Linked DNA regions of Elephas maximus indicus. The protein of the gene in region 1 interacts with the protein of each later gene in a pairwise test. Links are inferred from orthologs where the notes say so. Each region holds a gene or a part of one and is shown in the gene's direction. Other genes may lie near its edges.

Region 1 (9,688 bases):
TTTGGCTGATAAACTGGGGTGTCCCAGGAAACCATGACCCTAAACCTCCACCAAGAAACCAAATCCCATTCGATATTTGGTTATACATTAGCAGTTTCAGCAGCTACTCTTGTTGTTGTTGTTGTTCTTGTAGTAAAATAGATACCACACAACACTTGCCAATTCAACTTTTTATAGATGTACAACTTAGTGACATCAATTACACCAATTGGTTGTGCAACCATTACCCTTAATCAATGCAAATTTTCCATCACCATAAACAAACTAAACAGTTTACCTTAATTTGCAAAGAATGTCTGCCTTCAGCATTGTGCTCTTTTAAAGAACTACCTATATGGGATCAAACTGAATACAGCAGCTTGAAAGTTTAGATAGAAGTTTAAGAGGCATTGAGTTTATGTCAATGGGGGAGAAACAATTCGGAAAAAGGAGGGTGACAATAGTTGTACAACTTGAAGAATGTAATCAATATTACTGAATTGTACATGTAGAAATTGTTGATGCATGTTTTCCTGTGTATATTTTCAACAACACTAGAAAAATAAGATGAAGTATATAAAAATTAAAAAAGACTAGTTCATGGATCAGAACTGGAAATAGCAACTACATGCATTGTGTGCCCAGTGAGTGTTTTCTCCATGTATAGGAAAGCCACAGTGAAGGAACTAGATGTTGTGGAGCTAGATGTATGGAGATAAGGTGAAACCTTTTGTTAACTGTCAGGCTACCAACATGTAACAGATTTGCGTCATTTCTACCTGTGTTTTCCCTTGATCTCCTTTATTTTTTTGCACTTTAGGTATACCTTCTGTCTTAGTTTCCTAATGCTGCTGTAATAGAAATACCACAAGGAGGTGGCTTTAAGGAACAGAAATTTATTTTCTCATACTTCAGGAGGCTAGAAGTCCGAATTCAGGGCACTGGCTCTAGGGGAAGGCCCTCTGATGCCTCTGGGGAAAGATTTTTGTCTCTTTCCGCTTCTGTAGCCCTGGTGTTCCTCATCTCTTTGGCGATCTTCACGTGGCATCTGTCTTTCCCCTATTTGTGCTTGCTTTGCTGCTCCTTAAACTCTGAAGTGATTAGGTTTAGGATACACTCACATGGATATGGCCTTATTAATATAACAAAGGAAACCCCGTTCCCAAACATATAGGGGTTAGTCTTCCAACACGTATTTTGGCTGGGCACAATTCAATCCAAAATACCTTCTCTTTAGAAAGTTCGCTAAAATTGCATTCTCAAAACAAATCAGAGTACTATTCATATTACTAAATGATTCCTCTCTTGTTTAAGAGAACTTACGAAAGACTTTCTTTAAAATAGCCCGTTCCCCTAGTACACTTTGTAGATAATTAACAACTTGGCAACTGACTGGAGAAGCAGGGAAGAGGAGGAGTTTAAAACCAAAGCTATTGCCAATTGATAATGAATCAAAACTGGAGGAAAGAATTTCATCTCTTTAATGTAAATGAATGGAAAATAATTGTTTAAAACAAAAAACTATATTAATTGACACAAAGTTCTTCTGAAATGACATAACATTTATAGCTCTTTTTCCCACGTTGAAAGTTCTGGGGCCTGGAGGAGAGAAGCACCTTTATAGTGAATGCATTCTAGACCTAATAATTTATGATCTGTCAGTCTCACATTTTGGACATCATTATGTTCATTGGTAATCTGAGCTGCTGCAGTTTTGTTGATGCAATTAGTGATACACTACACTACACCACACCAACACCACTACAGTGTTACTGATGTTATATAGGGATGGTTCTTTCATTTTCATCTGAGAAGTAAACAGTGTTAATTATTTGGCAAATTTCATGTCTCTTGATAATGAAAATTAGTTTTAAAAGAGGACTGAGTTGGCTCGCATACATGTATAGAGGCCAGAAACCTGTTAAAAAGTCCAATGCCGTTACGATTTCACTTTTATGCCAGATGCCATTATTGAACTGCAGGTTCATTAACTCTCAAATAATATCCCCCAAAATCCTCCAACAATTTCCATTTCGTTTTGGTGTAGAGATATTACTTGAGAGCATATTATAGGCTAATACATAGACTTTATTCATAATTTTAACACAGACTAGAAATCAGCATTTAATAAATGAAAAAACATAAGGCACCGCAATAAACTTGCTCTTTTTAAAAAACAGTAACGCATGTTTTTGCAAGGACCCCTTATTATGCTTTTCACCTTGTGCCAATGTCTCCAATTTGTAGAATAATCACTATTACTACAGTAAACACTGAAATCTTTAAGTTGTATAAAGAATCATAAAACAACATTAAGAAGAAATCTTTTCATCACTGTCCTTTCTGTGTTTTTTGGTGTGCATCTGTCATTGCAAAGCAGCAAAGATGGCCTTTTTTTCCCCCCCACACTAATCAAACGTTCTTTCCCTCTTTTCCTTCCCTGCCCCCTATTGTGGTAAAAATATATATGACAAAACATTTATCATTTCAACATTTTTTACGTGTAGATTTCAATAATACTGTGTTCATCATGTTGTACAAACATCATCACTGTCTGTTTCCAAAGTTTTCCATAGCTCTTAACAGATCTCAGGGTCCCCCTTTCCTCCTCCCTCCTACCCCAGGTAAACCACCGATGAACTCTGGTCTCTATACATTTGCCCCTTGTAAATATTTCGTGTAAGTGGGATCATACAATATTTCTCCTTTTGTGACTTATTTCACTCAGCATAATGTTTTCAAAGTTCATCCTTGTGGTATCATGCATCTGGACTTTATTTCTCTTTATGGCTGAGTAATATTCCATTGTATGTTTACACCATGTTATGTTTATCCATTCATCTGTTAATGGACGTGTAGGTGCTTTCCACCTTTTGATTATTGGGAAGAGTGGTGTAATGAACATTGGTACACAAGTTCATAGCATTTCTGCTTTCAATTATTTGTGGTATATACCTAGAATTGCTGGGTCATATGGTAATTCTATGTTTAATGTTTTGCGTAATCACCAAACTGTTTTCCACAGCAGCTGCACCATTTTACTTTCCCACCAGCAATGGGAGGCATCAGTGGTTCAGTGGTGGAATGCTCGCCTTTCATGCAGGAGACCTGGTTCAATTCCTGGCCAATGCGCTTCATGCACAGCCACTACCCATCTGTCAGTGGAGGTTTGCGTATTGCTGTGATGCTTAACAGGTTTCAGTGGAGCTTCCAAACTAAGACAGACTAGGAAGAAAGGCCTGGTGATCTACCTGAAAATCAGCCAGTGAAACCCTTATGAATCACAAGTGATCAAGGGGATAATGCAGGACCAGGAGGTGCATGGGGTTGCTATGAGTCAGGGCCAACTTGATGGCAACTTACAACAACAACCAGCAATGGATGAGGGATCTAATTTCTCCACATCCTTGCCAGCATATGTTGTTTTCTGTTTTTGTTTTTTAATCATAGCCATACTAGTGAGGGTGAAGTGGTGTCTCATTTCCCTAAGATACTGAGCACCTTTTCATGTGTTTTTTGGGCATTTGTATATCTCCTTTGGGGAAATGTCTTGTCTTTTTTATATATACAAAACCAAAACCTATTGCCACCGAGTCAATTCCAGATCATAGTGACCCTATAGGACAGAGTAGAACTGCCCCCATAGAGTTTCCAAAGAGCACCTGGTGGATTTGAATGGCTGACCCTTTGGTTAGTAACTATAGCACTTAAACACTATGCCACCAGTGTTTTCTTTTTATATATGTTGTTGTTGTTAGGTGCCATCGAGTCGGTTCTAACTCATAGCGACCCTATTTACAACAGAACAAAACACTACCTGGTCCTGCACCATCCTTACAATAGTTATGCTTGAGCCCATTGTTGCAGCCACTGTGTCGATCCACCTCGTTGAGGGTCTTCCTCTTTTCTGCTGACCCTGTACTTTGCCAAGCATGATGTCCTTCTCCAGAGACTGATCCCTCCTGACAACATGTCCAAAGTATGTAAGATGCAGTCTCACCATCCTTGCTTCTATATATTAAACTGGATATTAAACCCTTATTTATATATGGTTATATATTTATATATGGTTCCCAAAAAATTTCTCCCCAAAATCCTTACAACTGGACCAATTGGCAACATCATGATAAATGGAGAAAATATTGAAGTTGTCAAGAATTTTCATTTTTCTTGGATCCACAATCAACACCCATGGAAGCCGGAGTCAAGAAATCAAACGATATACTGCATTGGGCAACTGTGCTACAAAAGACCTCTTTAAAGTGTTAAAGGGCAAAGATATCACTTTGAGGACTAAGGTGTGCCTGTCCCAAACCATGGTATTTTCATTCAGCTTATACACATGCAATACTGGACAATGAATAAGGAAGACTGAAGAAAAATCGATGCCTTTGAAGTACTGTGTTGGTGAAGAATATTGAATATACCATGGGCTGCCAAAAGAACAAACAAATTTGTCTTGGAAGAAGTACAGTCAGAATGCTCCTTAGATGTGAGCATGGCGAGACTTCGTCTCAAGTACTTTGGACATGTTATCGGGAGGGACCAGTCCCTGGAGAAGGACATCATGCTTGGTAAGTAGAGGGTCAGAAAGAGATGAAGACCCTCAACGAGATAGATTTACACAATGGTTGCAATGATGGGCTCACTGATAGCAACAATTCTTAGGATGGCAGAAGACTGGTCAGTGTTTCCTTGTGTTGTACACAGAGTTGCTGTGAGTTGGAACTGACTTGACAGCGCCTAACAACAACTCTTCACTTTGTTGATAAAGTCCTTTAATGCATAAAAGTGTTTAATTTTGATGCTGGGAAAAAGGAGCCTGAATCAGTTCCACTTACAGCTTAGTAAAATTTCAACAAACACCGCTCAGATTAAAAGCTTTTTCGTCTTATCCTCTTTCCCTCTTTAGGCATGTAGGGGATTTGGGGGTAACTACCCGGGGCAGTTCTACTCTCCTATAGGGTCGCTATGAGTCGGAATCGACTCGACGGCACTGAGTGTGGTTTGGTTTTGACCCAATTCCGTCTCTCCCAAACCTCAGCTTAACCTAAACTCCCCTTACCATAGCTTTACTCACGTCTCCACCATGGGCCAGGAAGTGACAGCAACGAAAACTACCCGGTTCCCAGGGCTGGCAACTCACCGGCTTTCTCTCTCCTCACTCGCAGCCTTTCCTGAACTCACCTCTTCTCCCTGCACACCACTAATCCCCTCCGAGACCTCAACCGCCACCTGCTCCCGCGCCCGCTAGCTGCCAATCACAGCCTCCGGCAGCTCCAGGGTTACTGAGAAATCGTTAAGAACTCGGCTGCTAACCGATAGGTTAGCGGTTCAAACCCACAAATTGCTCCGCGGGAGAAAGGTGTGGCAGTCTCTTTTGGAAACCCTATGGGCCAGTTCTACCCCGTCCTATAGGGTCGCTACGAGTTGAAATGGACTGGAAAGCAACGGGTTACTGGTCTCTGTACTCCCGCCCCCTCCAGAACTGCTTCCCGCCCTTCGGTCTCCTTGTCCAATCACCAGTGCCCGAGTGTTTTTGGTTCCCGCCCCCTCCATCCCCACCCTTCTGAGTCCCGCCTCCTTCGTCAAGGCTGACGGAACCACCTGACCCGGAGTCGCTCCTTCCGAAGGAAGGCAAGAAGGGGCGTGCGCGTGGAGGGGAGGGGCATGAGAAGAATGGGGAGGATGCCGGGAGTGGGGCGGGGAGAAGGGTTGTCAGTCCGATCTCGCGAGAGAGGACGGAAGCCTGTGGGAGCCCGTGGCCTTTAAAGTACGGTTCAGCCCTTTCCTCCAGGGGTGGTTTGTAAACACGGGGCTCCGGGCAGCCGAAGGGCGCATGCATTAGTGACCTGGAAAGGTGAGTAGTGATGGGGAGATTGCTGCAGACTGGAGACTGTGGGGTACCGAGAAAGAAGGCGCTAACATGGCGACGTCGCTCACCACAGTCCCCACCCCCCGCTTCCCAGCACCTGGGGCGCCCCTGCCTCCGTCCCTAGCCCTCGGGGCGACTGTGGCTGTGCTGCCACCTCAGCAGCCTGCCGGCGTCGGCTTCAGGAGGCTGTCTAGCCCGGCCGGACCTTTAGGTAACTGGCGTTCGTTGTTCCGGCCCCTCCCCGCTCGCGCGCTTTCCTAACGAAGAGGAAAAAGAAATAACGGCTCCTCTCAGACCCCTCCCTCCGATTTATCTTCCCCTTCTTCGGTCGGCTCGGAGGCTCCTGGAGCACAGGTCGGACCTGCCGAGGGCGCGGGGAGACCTCCCTCGGCCCTTAGCTTGGGCGGGAAGAGGGTCGGCTGTGGTCTCCCCACCCAAGACCCAGCGGCCGGGACTATTTGTATGTGGGGTGTGGAATGGGGAGTAGATCGGCATGTACGGCTGAAAACAGGGTCTGGGTCCCTGCCTGCGGTGAAACCTGATGGAGCGAATGGTATGGTGAGCCTGGGAATTAGGAGGCCCGGCCTTTTCTGTCCTTTCTGCCACCCTCACACACTCGCCACCCCCCTCTTTTTCCCAGTGGGGCGGGGCTGAGGTGTGGGTGCGGGTTGATTCTGGCGTTTTCCCCCATTTTTTATCTCTCTGGGTGGACACCAGAGCTTCTGTAGGGAAATAATCTGTGCTGTTTATCGATGCCCCAGGGACCAGGACAGAAAGAGAGATTGTGTGTGTGTGTGTGCGCGCGCGCTCCCGTGTGTGTGTGTGTGTGTGTGTGTGTGTGTGTTTGCTTGTTTTCTACGCACGCTGGTGGAACCGAAGCTAAGGAGAGGGCGGAAGAGCTGGGGATTATTTTTGTGGTCTTAGGTAGTATAAAGGAGCTCTGGTGGAGCTCGTCTGCTAACCAGAAGGTTGGGGTTCGAACCCGCCAGCCAGGAGGAAGATGTGGCAGTCTGCTACCGTGAATATTTATTTACAGCCTTGGAAACCGTATGGGGCAGTTCTACTCTGTCCTATAGGGTCGCTATGAGTCCCAGTCGACTCCATGACAGTGGGTTTGGTTTGGTGGGTAGGTAGTAAAAAAAAAAGTCTTTTTTAATAGGGAGTCTTAAAACTGGTGAGGCGAGAGTAAAACTACTGTGAATATGATGGAGTGAAACACATTACTTAGACCTATTCATTTATTCCTAAATTATAATATGCAAGTAGTTTCTTAGTAATCTTAAATTACAGAAACAGTAACAATGCATACTATTAATGTATTTGAAGTCAGAACAGAAACTGTTTCTCTGAGCACACTTTTTGTCCTATATGAAGAAATTCATAACCATTGACATTGTCAGTGGCAGCAGTTCCCCCTCAGAATCTTTAAATAACCGTATAACCTTGGTCTATTGAACCAAAATTATGAAGGTGCGACTTTATTGTAAGAAGTCAACCCTATGTGGGTTAACTGCCCTGAATTACAAATACAGTAGCAGTTATATCTTGTATTTAAATTTGTCACACTGACTTCAGGCATCCTCTGTAAACACTTTTTTCAGAAATTGGAGGAACATCCTTTCAAGTTTTTTTTTAAAAAACTAGATGCCCTTCTGCAGATCAAGAAAGTTCATGGACCTTGAAGACCTTCGATAATAATCAAGAATCCTTAGCTTTGTAATATAATTTGTAAGAATCTTTCAAGTTTACAGTGGTGTGTATATTGCTTATCGGGTCGCTATGAGTCGGAATGGACTCAACGGCAGTGGGTTTGGTTTGGTTCGGGTTTGTGTGTTGCCTAAGGAGGCCTGGCAGTGAAGTGGTTAAGCACAAGGCTTGCTAACTTTAAGTTCTGGGTTCCTGTGCACCAGCTGCACCTTGGGAAAAAGATGCGGCAATCTGCTTCTGGAAAGATTACAGCTTTGGAAACTCTGGGGCAGCTCTGCTCTGTCCTGTAGGGTCACTATGAGTCGGAATTGACTGACTGGACGGCAGTAGGTTTGGTTTTTTGGTTTCGGTGTGTTGCCTCCCTAACAAATCTTTAATCTTGCTTTGAGAGGATGCCACTGCTATTCTTTTAAAATTATTTAGAATATAATGTTGTAATTAAAATGTAGGCATTTTGTATTTTAATTGTCGGTAAGGAAGGCGCTTTCAGGAACTTTTCGTGTATATGTTTTTAAGGTACGCAATGCCTTATACAGATTTTATTGCATTTGCTGGAAATCTCTTTAAATACCATGTTAGAATGTTTATTTGGTATTTGGGCCACTATATTATGTATTAAAAATCATGCAATCCAGAAATTCTTGCATTTACTTTTTTACTTGAAGTATTTGTTTCTTATTTTTAAATTAAGATAACAGTAGAAATAGTTACCATGTCAGCTGTTTAATAGATAATTGGGGGGATTTATTGGTATTTAGAGTTTGGAAGCTGTAGTAGTATAACATAAAAATTATATGCTATACATCGAACTTCTAACTAGCATTAACTCTCAAGAAATCATCCACACTTTTTCTATCTAAATTTTTATATTTTGGAAAAGTTGGGTTGTAATGATTTATATGTCCTCTGCTGGTATAGGGTCACAGAGTCGGAATCGAGATGACAGTGGGTTTTTTCTGCTGGTAAATTAAATTCAAGGATCGTTTTAGATCAGGGGAATAATCCCACCGTGCATACTGTTTTCCATTTTGCCTTTGAGCTCTTCATTCTGATATGAAATCTGCCTTTAAGCTGGCACTTCTTTTTTTGTGTGTGTGTTTTTGTTGAAATGTCCTTAGAGAGGATAAAGTAGTTGAAGTCTTTCTTACTTAAAACAAAATGTCCACCAAAACCTCTCAATTTAAAACAAACTGAGTAACAGTTTCAAGAATTATTGGATATTCAGCTGATCCTCATAAAAATTAATAAATAACAGTACTAGTTACGCTATTTTTTGTAATTCAAATGCACCCCTAAAAGCCTTTGCATTTTATAAAAAAACAGTTTAATTTAGTAGTTTAGTGTTTATTTTATATGTATTCAGTGAGGTTAAGAACTTGTCTAAAATGCATCATATTCTCTTTATATAATTTTTAATGATCAGGTAGTCATTATTAGATAATGTCCATCAATTTATATCTAAGAGAAAACCCCACAAAACATTTTATTTCATTTTTTCTGTTTCTCAAGCACAAGGTTAAAAAGTTGGAGTAAGGTATAATTTCATTAAAAATTTATTTTCATTTTTAAGCATGTTTAGTGATGCTTTTTTTCCCCCTTGGCATTTTTGTCAATAGAAAAATAAATGATGTGGTAAAATTGTAGTAATTAAAAATTCCCCCCCCCAACAAGAAAGGATATAAATAAACTGCTTTGGGGGCTAGGCCTGTTCATTCATGTCTACATTCTGTATCTTAACAAAGACAATTGGCAACCATTTTTCTTCTGCCTTGATGCCCAAGGAATAGAAAGCACTCCCGAAAGTAGTAGTGGCTTATTACCACTGAGATCCTCAATGAAATTGGTAGGAAAAGATGGTGGGAATGATTGTAATTGGCAAAATACCAAATGTATTTTGGTTCTTTTGAAAGTCTGTGGTTGACTTTGTCTATAATATTGGCCTTAAATTTGTAAATATGTTCCCTAAATATTCTTTAATTTACCTAATTGAACCTAAACTCTGTCACTGTAATTTAATGGCTTTGTTCTTCCAGTTTATTTATTGAGCAGCTATTATAGCAGTGTAACTAGAAATCAACTTCAGTTTTGCCATACTAACTGTTTTCATTATTTTTCTTCTATTTTGTA
Region 2 (9,196 bases), on another chromosome or scaffold:
AGCAAAACTGAGACTGTGTTCATGACTTGCACCATGTCACTCTGTTGGCTGGGAGTAAAGCTGTGACTGGTCCCCAGGTCTCCTGACTCCTGTCGGTCCTCTGCCCACTCGAACGCCCAGGGTTCCTTCTTCTGGTACATGGAAATAGCTGCTACCTGGCCTTCGGCCCTGTGGTCCAAGGTGGGCGTCTATGGCTGCTCATAATTGACTACACACAAGAAGGTCCCTAAAGATGCAACCCCCGCCTTCTCTTTGCAGGGCACCAAGTTGGAGGGGGTAAAAGTTCTTGGAAACGTTCAGAGAGAGAGAAGATGAGCTGTCTGGACCACGGGCTGTGTTTGAGAATCAAGTCGGACAACATTATGGAAATGGGTTTCTCCAAGTGCTGGTCAACAAGCTCTCTCTGATGCCTTCTCTCTCCCTTCACTTAGAAGACACCAGAGGCTTGCAAGACAGTGCCACCTGAGCCTACAGTCAGGACCCTCAGAGAAGGGTGGGGGCTCAACCAGAGACAGTCCCTTGCTCAAGGATACCAGGCTCAGAACCACACCAGAACCCAAATCCCCCATTCCCAGCCCAGGCACTTTGCACGGAGTCAGTGGGGGGAGGAAGGCATTGGTCAGCACAGCACTGAGGTGAGCCCCAGGCGAATGGCCGTGCTGCTGTGGATGAATAACCGGAAATGCTCTCATCGTTTCCTGTCTGGAGATTGTCATTCCTGGACATTGCTCAACTCTTCCCAACTGTTTGCCACTGATGTTGTTGTTAGGTGCCGTTGAGTAGGTTCCGACACATAGTGACAGAACGAAACACTGTCCGGTCCTGTGCCATCATCACAACCATTGTGCTTGAGCCCATTGTTGCAGCCACTGTGTCAGTCCATCTTGTTGAGGGCCATTGATAAGGAGTGCAGAATTAGCTCTGGGGGGGAGGTCGAGGGGTATCCCCAGAAAGCCCCCCTCCCGATTCACAATTAGCGACACCATTACTGTGCCCCTTTCTCCATTCACTCTCACAACAACCCTGAGTTAGGTGCTATTATTAGTGCCATCTTTCAGCTGAGGAAACTTAAACCCAGAGAATGAAATGACTTTTCCAAGATGACACAGCCACTAAGTGCTGAATCCAGAATCAAAGTCCTCCCTTCCACACTTCAGAGTCCACTGTGCAAGGCTGCCCCCACTTTCCCCAAGAAGGCCTCAGGTCAGAGACTCTTAAATTAGTAATCTACACACCCAAACTGACCTTACAGAAAGGGTGGGCTTTGGAGAGGAGAATGGAGAGGACAGGCCACCCAACTCCTGTTCCAGGGTGAAGAAGTGGGTTGAGCCGGGTAGACTGGGCTGCTAGCTCCTAGCTGCTTCCCTGGCCGATTTTAACTTGTGTTTAATTTGGGTTTCTGGGATCTCTGAGAGCAAATAGAGTCTTCCGGGTTTGCAGAACAGAACGGTGGGATGGGGAGGGGCTGGGAAGGGACAGCCCACTGGACTAAAAGCTCTAAATATCTCTTGGGCTCCTTTTTTTTTCTGGTTGTTTGCGTTTGGCTCCTTGCAATGTTTTGGTGTTTAGATTTGGTTGCCACGAGTGGGCTGTTTTTAGCTGCCCAGTTCCTTCCCCTCCCCTTTTAATTTTTTCCCCTTGCTTTTGCACAAGCCCCAGCACGAAGTCTTCAGGTCTTATCTCACTCAGCAAAAACACACCCGGCTGATCTGAGAGTGGATTCCCCAGGCGATTCCCGGAGTAAAGCCTCAGCAAAATATTCCAGTCTCTGCTTATCTCGCTTTCATTGAGGATTAACCCCTGAAATAACCCAGGCCCGGGCTTCCTTCTGGGGCGGGGGGGGGGGGGGGGGGCGGGGGGCAGGCATTCTGTGCCTTTGTCTGGGGAGCTTTTCTTGCCCCTCCTCTGGATGGGACTGCTTGTGTGTGGTGAGAGTGTGAGCCGTGGACATTGGCGGCACGAATGAAAGCCAGGGTAGAGGAGGACGCACAGCCTCAGGTACCGATCCCGGAGATCACCGAGCTGGGCACACAGAGCTTCTCCCGCTGTTCCCCAGCCTCTCTCTCATTCCGCAGACATTTCACAGCTCTCCTGGGGGAAGGGAGGAAAGGAGGCAGCCAGGACTAGTTTTTTGTTTTTCTTGGATAAGAGTTTCATTCACGTGGGGGTGTACTTCTCTGTCATGATTCTTATCGCTTTTAGAGTCCCAGTAAGAGAAAAAGGCAGAGGAAAGAAAGCCAGGCTCAGGCTCCGGCAGATGCCAACGGCACTTCTGCCCAGGTGTGACTTGGAGATTCAAAAGCAAGGATTACTAGAATGAAACCAGATTAATAAACGGAACGGGAGGAGGCAGGATGGTAACAAACTGTGAATGCCTCTCTTTTCCCTGACCCTTTGCTTCCTCTGTTTTGTGGACACTGGTGTGTTTACTGCTCGAGCTGAATTTCCCCTTAAGGAAAGGGCCAAACTTCCACAGCTCTTGCTTGGGTGTGTTAATGGCACCACAGTTTAAAATGTAAATTGGATAAAGATTTCTGCGCGCGTTTCACAGCAACAAGTGAAAAGCTTTCACGTGGTTCTTTCCCGCCTCCTTGTCTCACTTTATCATAATATTTATAATAAATAATTAATGGTGCTATTTATTTCAGTGGAGGTTGGTCGGATAAGGAGAGAATCCCAAATAACTTTCATTTAAATTGTACACGTAAATTCTACGTTTAAATGAAAAGTTATTTGGGATTCTCTACTTGTCAGACGCCCTTTCCATCCGCTCTCGCTCGGAGTTCTCGGGCTGTGCAGACACGCCCGGGGTGTACCTGCCCGCGCGTCGGTGGGAGGGCGGGGTGTGGGTGTGCGGAGCGGGGTGTGCGGGGTGTGTGGGCGTGAGAAGTGGAGGGTGGGGCCGGGAGAGCCGTTACCAGGACGAAAAGCAGAGGAAAACAGCCGCCCCACGCTTCCCGCGCGATGCGCCAGGGGAACCTTGTCTGCTGCAGAGCAGAATCCCCGAGGGCACCGCGTGGAACCCCAGGGCTGTCGGATGGGGCGGAGGACTTCCGAGGCCGCCCTCCACGTTGTACAAGCTCCAGGTGGGAGAGGGCATCTGGGTGAGGTTCTGGCTTGGGGGCAAGAAACCCGGGTGTGGAAGATTCGGCGCTACCTGCAGCGCCGGGGATCTCTGCCCCAGGCTGCTCCGCCATCGGCAGGGCTGGGGAGGGATGCGGATTCTCCAAGGTGTGAGTGTATGTGTGTGTGTGTGTGAGTGCAAGACGCTGCGCCCTGGCCCGACCGGGCGCCAGACCCCCGGCTCCGCCACGACCTTACCAGTCAAGGGCCGCGCCTGCAGATGCGATGGGACCTGGTGCCCCGAGACACCTAGAGTTCTTACTCCAAACTATGGCCTTCGATCACCCATCTCCCAAGAGGCAGGTCGAAGCAGGTGCTTCTGCCCTCGGCCTCACACCCCCCTCAGTACCCCGCCACTCCTGGCTCGCGTGGGTCTCCCTCCCAGGCAAATTCGAAAGGCCCCGGGCCACGCTTGCGCCCACACCTTATCGTCTAAGAGTGGCTGAGAAGGTCCCTGGTTCTGCCGTTGTCGGAGCCGAGATGGCTACAGTCTGGGAATCGGAACCGGGAAATCGTTTTAAGGTTCAAACCCAGTTCTGCCGAGGCATCGGGGTCCCGCCACCCTGGCCTGAGGACCGAGGGGATCTCTACTGCGGGTTCCCGTCCTGGCGGCGGTCAGTGCGTCCCCAGTACCGGCACTCTGGTCCCCGCCCAATCTGCTCTCCGCGCAGAAAAACACGAGAAAGATGAGGACGAGTTTCCCTACACACTGGCCGAGGGCGAGGCGACCCGCTCCAGCCTGGCCGGCCCCCGGGGCCGAAGCGCTGTCTCTTTCTCTTGTCTCCCCGGCTGCTCAGTTTCAGTCCGGCTCCGGGTTCCCCTTGTTTCTCCAGATCTCTTATCCGTCTACGCTCTCTCGTTCGTTTCGCCGGGAATCTCTCTGTCAATTTCAAATGCTTTGTGGTTGTTTAAAAACATCCGAACTGACAGGGTCCTACCCCTCGCCATCTCCTTCGGATCGGGTTCCAGTGAGCACCGAGGTGTATCTGCGTGTGCGCTCACGTGGGATGAGCTGGAGCCGCGGGCGCCGGGGGACGGCGCGCGCCGAGCGCTGCTGTCCGCGCTTGGGTTAACGCGCCGGTTTCTCGTGGTCCCCGCGGCGGAGGTCACCCCGGAGAGTAACGGTGTGGGGTCACGCCTGGGTGACTTTGGGCACCTCTCCCGCACGAGAGAACAACGCTCCTGCCCCCACCCAGCCCTCTACTCGAGAAGGAGGCGGCGGGCGGGGTAGGGGGCACTTTCTTGAAGCTCCAGATAATGACCGTGCATTTTAGAGAAAGGTCGCGCCCCCTTCCCGGCCTCACCTCGCCTGGGCCGCGGCCGGGACCAGCCTTCTCCCCACCCCTCCCGCAGCCTAGCCGAGGGAGGGATGCCAGCGCGGTGGAGTCATGCCGCTGGCTTGGGCACCATTGGCTCACGCCTGGAACACGCAGCGGCGAGTACGCACATCTGGCGGCGGGCCCGGGCGGCTCCGGTCCCGATTTGGAGAGAGAGGGCGGGCGGGTGTGTGTCCCAGCGCGAGGCCGGGAGAACGCGCCTCCGGGCCCCTCCCCGAGGTTGCATCACCAGGCCTCCCTCGCCGCCACCGCCTCCCCGCGCCTTGGTCCCTCCTCCGCCCCGCCTTCCACTGCCCGGTCCGGCGAGTTCTCGGGGAAGCTATTAATAGCATTACGTCAGCCCGGGGCTGGTAACCCGGAGTCAGCGGGCGCGCCGCCAGCCCAGCGCTATAAAAGGGGTGATGCAACGCGCTCGCAGCCACAGTCGCACGCAGCCAGGCGCGCACAGCACAGCACTCTCCCCGCCGCCGCCCAGCGGACCCGCCAGCCCGCGCACCGGCCGTGCGTCCTCGGGACAGCCTGCGCGCCCGCCCCCGTCCTGCCCCCGCCCGCCCTCGGGACCCAGGCCGCCTCGAGCCGAGGCAGGAGGTGAGCGCTGGAAGCCGAATGAGTGAACGCGGCGAGGGCGGCTTGCTTTCATTGCCTTTGCGCCCCTCCAGTGACCGGCTCCCGGACCCCTGCGCCCACCCCGGGCCCGCGCACCCAGCCTCCGCTTCCCCAGAACTCTGGCTGAACTTCTGCCAGCCAGTGCCGCTTCTCTGCGCTTCAGAAAGTTTCTCGAAAAGTGAAAGAACTAACTTTCTCTTTTGACTTGGGGCGCGAGAGGCTTCTGGTGACGGAGAGGACGGGCGCCCGCTCCCCGCTGACCTTCTAGCGCAGCTCCTCTCCGCCCTGGGCGCCGACTTACCGGCTGGGAGCCCGCGTAGGGAGGTGGGTGCTCGGGTGAATCCCAGGCCTCCCCGGATCGCCGTCCGGCTCCATCCATCGCTTCGCGCCCGGGCACCGCCAACCAAGGCGATCCTTCCCGGGCTCGGCGTTCGGGCGCCGAGGCCGCGGGCTCGCAGAAGCGCTGCCCCAGGCGCCGAGCGGAATGAATGGGGAGGGAACGGACGAACCGGGGACGCTGGCGCGGCGGCTGGGAGTCGCTCTGCCTGCACCCCAGGAGCGCTCGGCGCCGGGGACGCGCGGGAGCCCAGAGCAAAAGTTAGTCGGGTAAGTTTAGAGGTGGCGAGCGCGTGAGTCGCTGTCCCGGGCGGAGGGCGGAGAGGGCTCCCGGCACAGGCTCGTATTGGCCTCCGGGACCCGGGACTTCCTGTCTCATCTCTTGCTCGCTTTTCTCTGCTACCTGCGACTCTCGCTCTGGGTTTTTCTATGGCGGGTACTCAGACTTCTCTGCTTCGTGCCCATGGACACCCACCGTGGGGAGGTGAGAGTGCGAGCCCGGCCCTTCAGATAATTGAGAAGAGAATGGCTTTGTGATCAAGTGTCCAGGGCTCTGGGAGCTTACACGGCAGTCGATGTCGTCGAGCTGCAGTCTCGTGCCTGCAGCCGGGAGCGGTGGGTACGTAGACGCTGCCCGCCCCGCTGCCTGTCTGTGAGCGGGAGGTGGTGGCTGAACCCGATACCCACCAAGGTGCTTTCTGGGTTAAGATTTTCGGCTTCAAGGGTGGTGGCGCAGTGGTTAAGCGCTCGGCTGCAGGCTGAAAGGTCATTGGTTCAAACTTACCACCGCTCCGCGGGAGAAAGATGTGGCAGTCCGCTCCCGGAAAGATTACAGTCTTGGAAACCCTATGGGCAGCTCTACTGTATCCTATAGGGTCGCTGTGAGTCTGAATTGACTCCACGGCAGTGAGTTTTTTGGTAGAGTGGGCGTCTCTGTCTTGTCACTTACCAGCCTCCCAGGCAGTGGGGAAAGGGGACCTGTCTTCCCAACTTCTTTTCATTGGATTGGCTCTCCACCCCCTCCTCCTTTCCTGCTTCCCCCTTGATTCTCTCGTGTACTTAATTCATTTCCTCGTTGATTGTTTTTCCCCCTAATTTCATTGCTTAAATCACATATGCTGCCTTACAAATAAAGATGTTGCAAAATCTCTGATGGAGCCACAAAAAAAACTGGGAGCTAGAAAGTCTGGGTGTTTTCTCAGAGCACATATTTTATTGTGGGTGTGAGAGACAGTTTTTCTTTGGGCCTTCTGTCACCCCAACTTAAACTAAAGGAGAAGTTGGTATCACTGTCCCCCTGGCTTTGCATTTAGCATCTCGTGTAGAATAATGCTGCTTCATGTAGGCTCTTGATCTGAAGACGTCCTGGACAAAGGGGCAGTCGGGGCGGGGGGGTGGGGAGACTGCAGTTGTTCTTGTCTTGATGGTGTCAGAGATGGCGTGGAAGGCCACACCCCAGGCCCACAGTGTGGATAAGACACCGCACCCAGCACCGTGGGAGCCTTTGGACCCTTTGTGTCATAACTCCACCCTTCTCACCCTCTTTGCCCTTTCAGCGGTTTTTTAACTTTTCCTTCCACCGTGATCCTTTTTCCTCTGTCCATATTCCCTCCCCCGTTTAGCTCTCCCAGTGGTCTCTGTGTTGGTTGGCACCAGGTTACTAGGGCTGTTGATCTCTCACATACCTGGTACAATGGCTCTGTTCTCTGTGCCTTGGGTTGACCCCTCTTGAGGTTGGATCCCTGTTGGTGGTAGAGCAAAAAGAGCAGCAGGTGGCTGGTCAGCAGCTTGGCCTGGGCTGGCGACTCAACAACTTTATGACCTTGAGGAAGTCACTTTACCTCCCTGGGCCTCAGCTAACTCGATTACAAATGAGGATCTCAGCTAGATGACTCTAATATTGGTGTCTTATGATTTCTGGTAGATAGATACCATGATTTGTTCCATTTTAAAGCTGGGGTGGAGCGAGCTCAGTGGCTTCAAGTGTTCCCTAGCTAGGACACCATGGACATATTTTTCGAGGGAAAAATGGTTTCACATGTGAGAAACTGGTTATCTCTCAAGCACGTAACAGTGGCGACAGGCTGGTGCCAGCAGATAGTAGGGTGGAACGTACCTAGTGTGTTAGAGACCCAGAGGTCAATCAAAGTGCAGAAGAAGCTGAGAGCTGTCCTGAATTTCTTGAGGGTTCCCATTAATTCCTGACTAATGGGGGACTGAATTGCACTGAGCACAAAAGAATGAGTTCTCCATGAAATGGGGAAAGTAGAATCACAGTAATGAAGGGTGCCCAGTGTGTGTGTAAGTCCACCTTCATCTCATATGCTCTTCGTGATAGCGCTGTGCGGGAGTTGGGGCAGGCAACACGGAGCTCATTTCACAGATGAGGAGACCCAGGCCCAGGAAGTGTAAGTGGCCAGTAAGCGGGCGCTCAGCTTGTGAGTGGTGGTGGTAGACCTGGAAACTGTCTCGGGTCCTGAAGCCCAGCCTTGTACCTACAACCTTCACGAGGGTTGACACAAAGGGTTAGTTAGTGAGAAGACCAACGCTGGCTTCCTAGCATCATAAGATATTTTGTGAGTAGTGCTTTGAGGCAAGAGATGAAAACCAAAAGTGAAAATTCAGTGTAGTTGTAGTCACTAGGAAATAGCGTTTGGGAACTGAATTTCCAGTTAAAGAGATACATGAGTGAAGTTTCACTTTCTTAAAAATGATGAGACTGCTAACTACGTGACACCATTTCTGACTGGAGATAATGAAGTAGAAGCGAAATACAGGCTCTTTGCAGCAGATCTGGGCAATTTCAAGATCAACGTAGAAAGTCAACTCAGATGATCTAAGAGAGATGTGAAGATAACCGGGAACTTTTTTTTCTTCAATTGGTGGTGGTGAGGGGAGCGTTCAAGTGTCTCGGCTTTCTGAAAAAACTGTCTGAAGATTTAACTTCATTTTCCTTGTGGGGACACGGCCTTAGTCTGGGCTGAATCGTATCTTAAGAGAATATGTGGAGGAGTAACTCTAACGTATCCCAAGAGGCTAAGTTTCAGCCTAGTTCAGAGAAAGGCCAAGTCTGTACAGATACAACCACTTTATTTTCTGAAAGGCTTTTAACATTTTACCACCCATTTCCGTCCCCAAGTAAGCCCACCCAATGCTTTTCATAAAAACATTCCATGCCACTGACATTCTTCACTTTTATCAGGACTGCTGACTTTATACTAAGAAGGGGGAAAAATCCCAAACAGTAGACCCTAAGCCCTAAGAGCTCATTAATAAGCTTAGTTGAGTGGAGAAATGGAACTATACTCAAAAAAAAACTGCAGTGGAATTCAAACTGCCCATCCAGTCCTCCAAACAAAGGCCAGTCCAGTGGCAGCTCTGAGTTCCATCCCTGAACTATTTGGTTTTTAGTAAAGTTGGAAAGGGAGGAAAGTGTGAAAGGATGGAAGAATCTTAAGACTCTGGCTTCAGATGGCTGCTTTCTTAGGCATTTATCACCTATCAGGGAGGGGTATCCTCCCAGTAGCCTAGGTGATAGGATTAAATTGATAGACCTTCAGTTGTGACTCAGAACACAGGGCTGTGGGAAGAGAATCGTGTGTATTTTCTAGGTTTCTCTGAATAGTGAACAACATTCGTCGAAATTGGAGTTCCTGCCCCCATCAGAACCCACCTGGATTCCACAGAACCTCTGCCAGAGAGCCAGCCCTGGGCTGGAAGGATCCGTGGGGGCACAGTAATAGTGTACCTCCTGTTTGCATAACGGAGCCCTGGTGGTGCAGTGGTTAAGAGCT

What was found.
Region 2: the proteins of ATF2 (region 1) and ATF3 interact in binary tests that used the Homo sapiens proteins (3 or more experiments, as listed by UniProt). The link is inferred for Elephas maximus indicus from reciprocal best matches to the Homo sapiens genes ATF2 and ATF3.

Annotation. Positions count from the first base shown.
Region 1 is NC_064824.1:73,233,959-73,243,646, reverse strand, and holds the start of ATF2 (cyclic AMP-dependent transcription factor ATF-2), read left to right. Parts: upstream 1-5,704; 5' UTR 5,705-5,839; intron 5,840-9,688. UniProt on the Homo sapiens protein: Transcriptional activator which regulates the transcription of various genes, including those involved in anti-apoptosis, cell growth, and DNA damage response.
Region 2 is NC_064842.1:1,221,728-1,230,923, forward strand, and holds the start of ATF3 (cyclic AMP-dependent transcription factor ATF-3), read left to right. Parts: upstream 1-4,870; 5' UTR 4,871-5,550; coding exon 5,551-5,672; intron 5,673-9,196.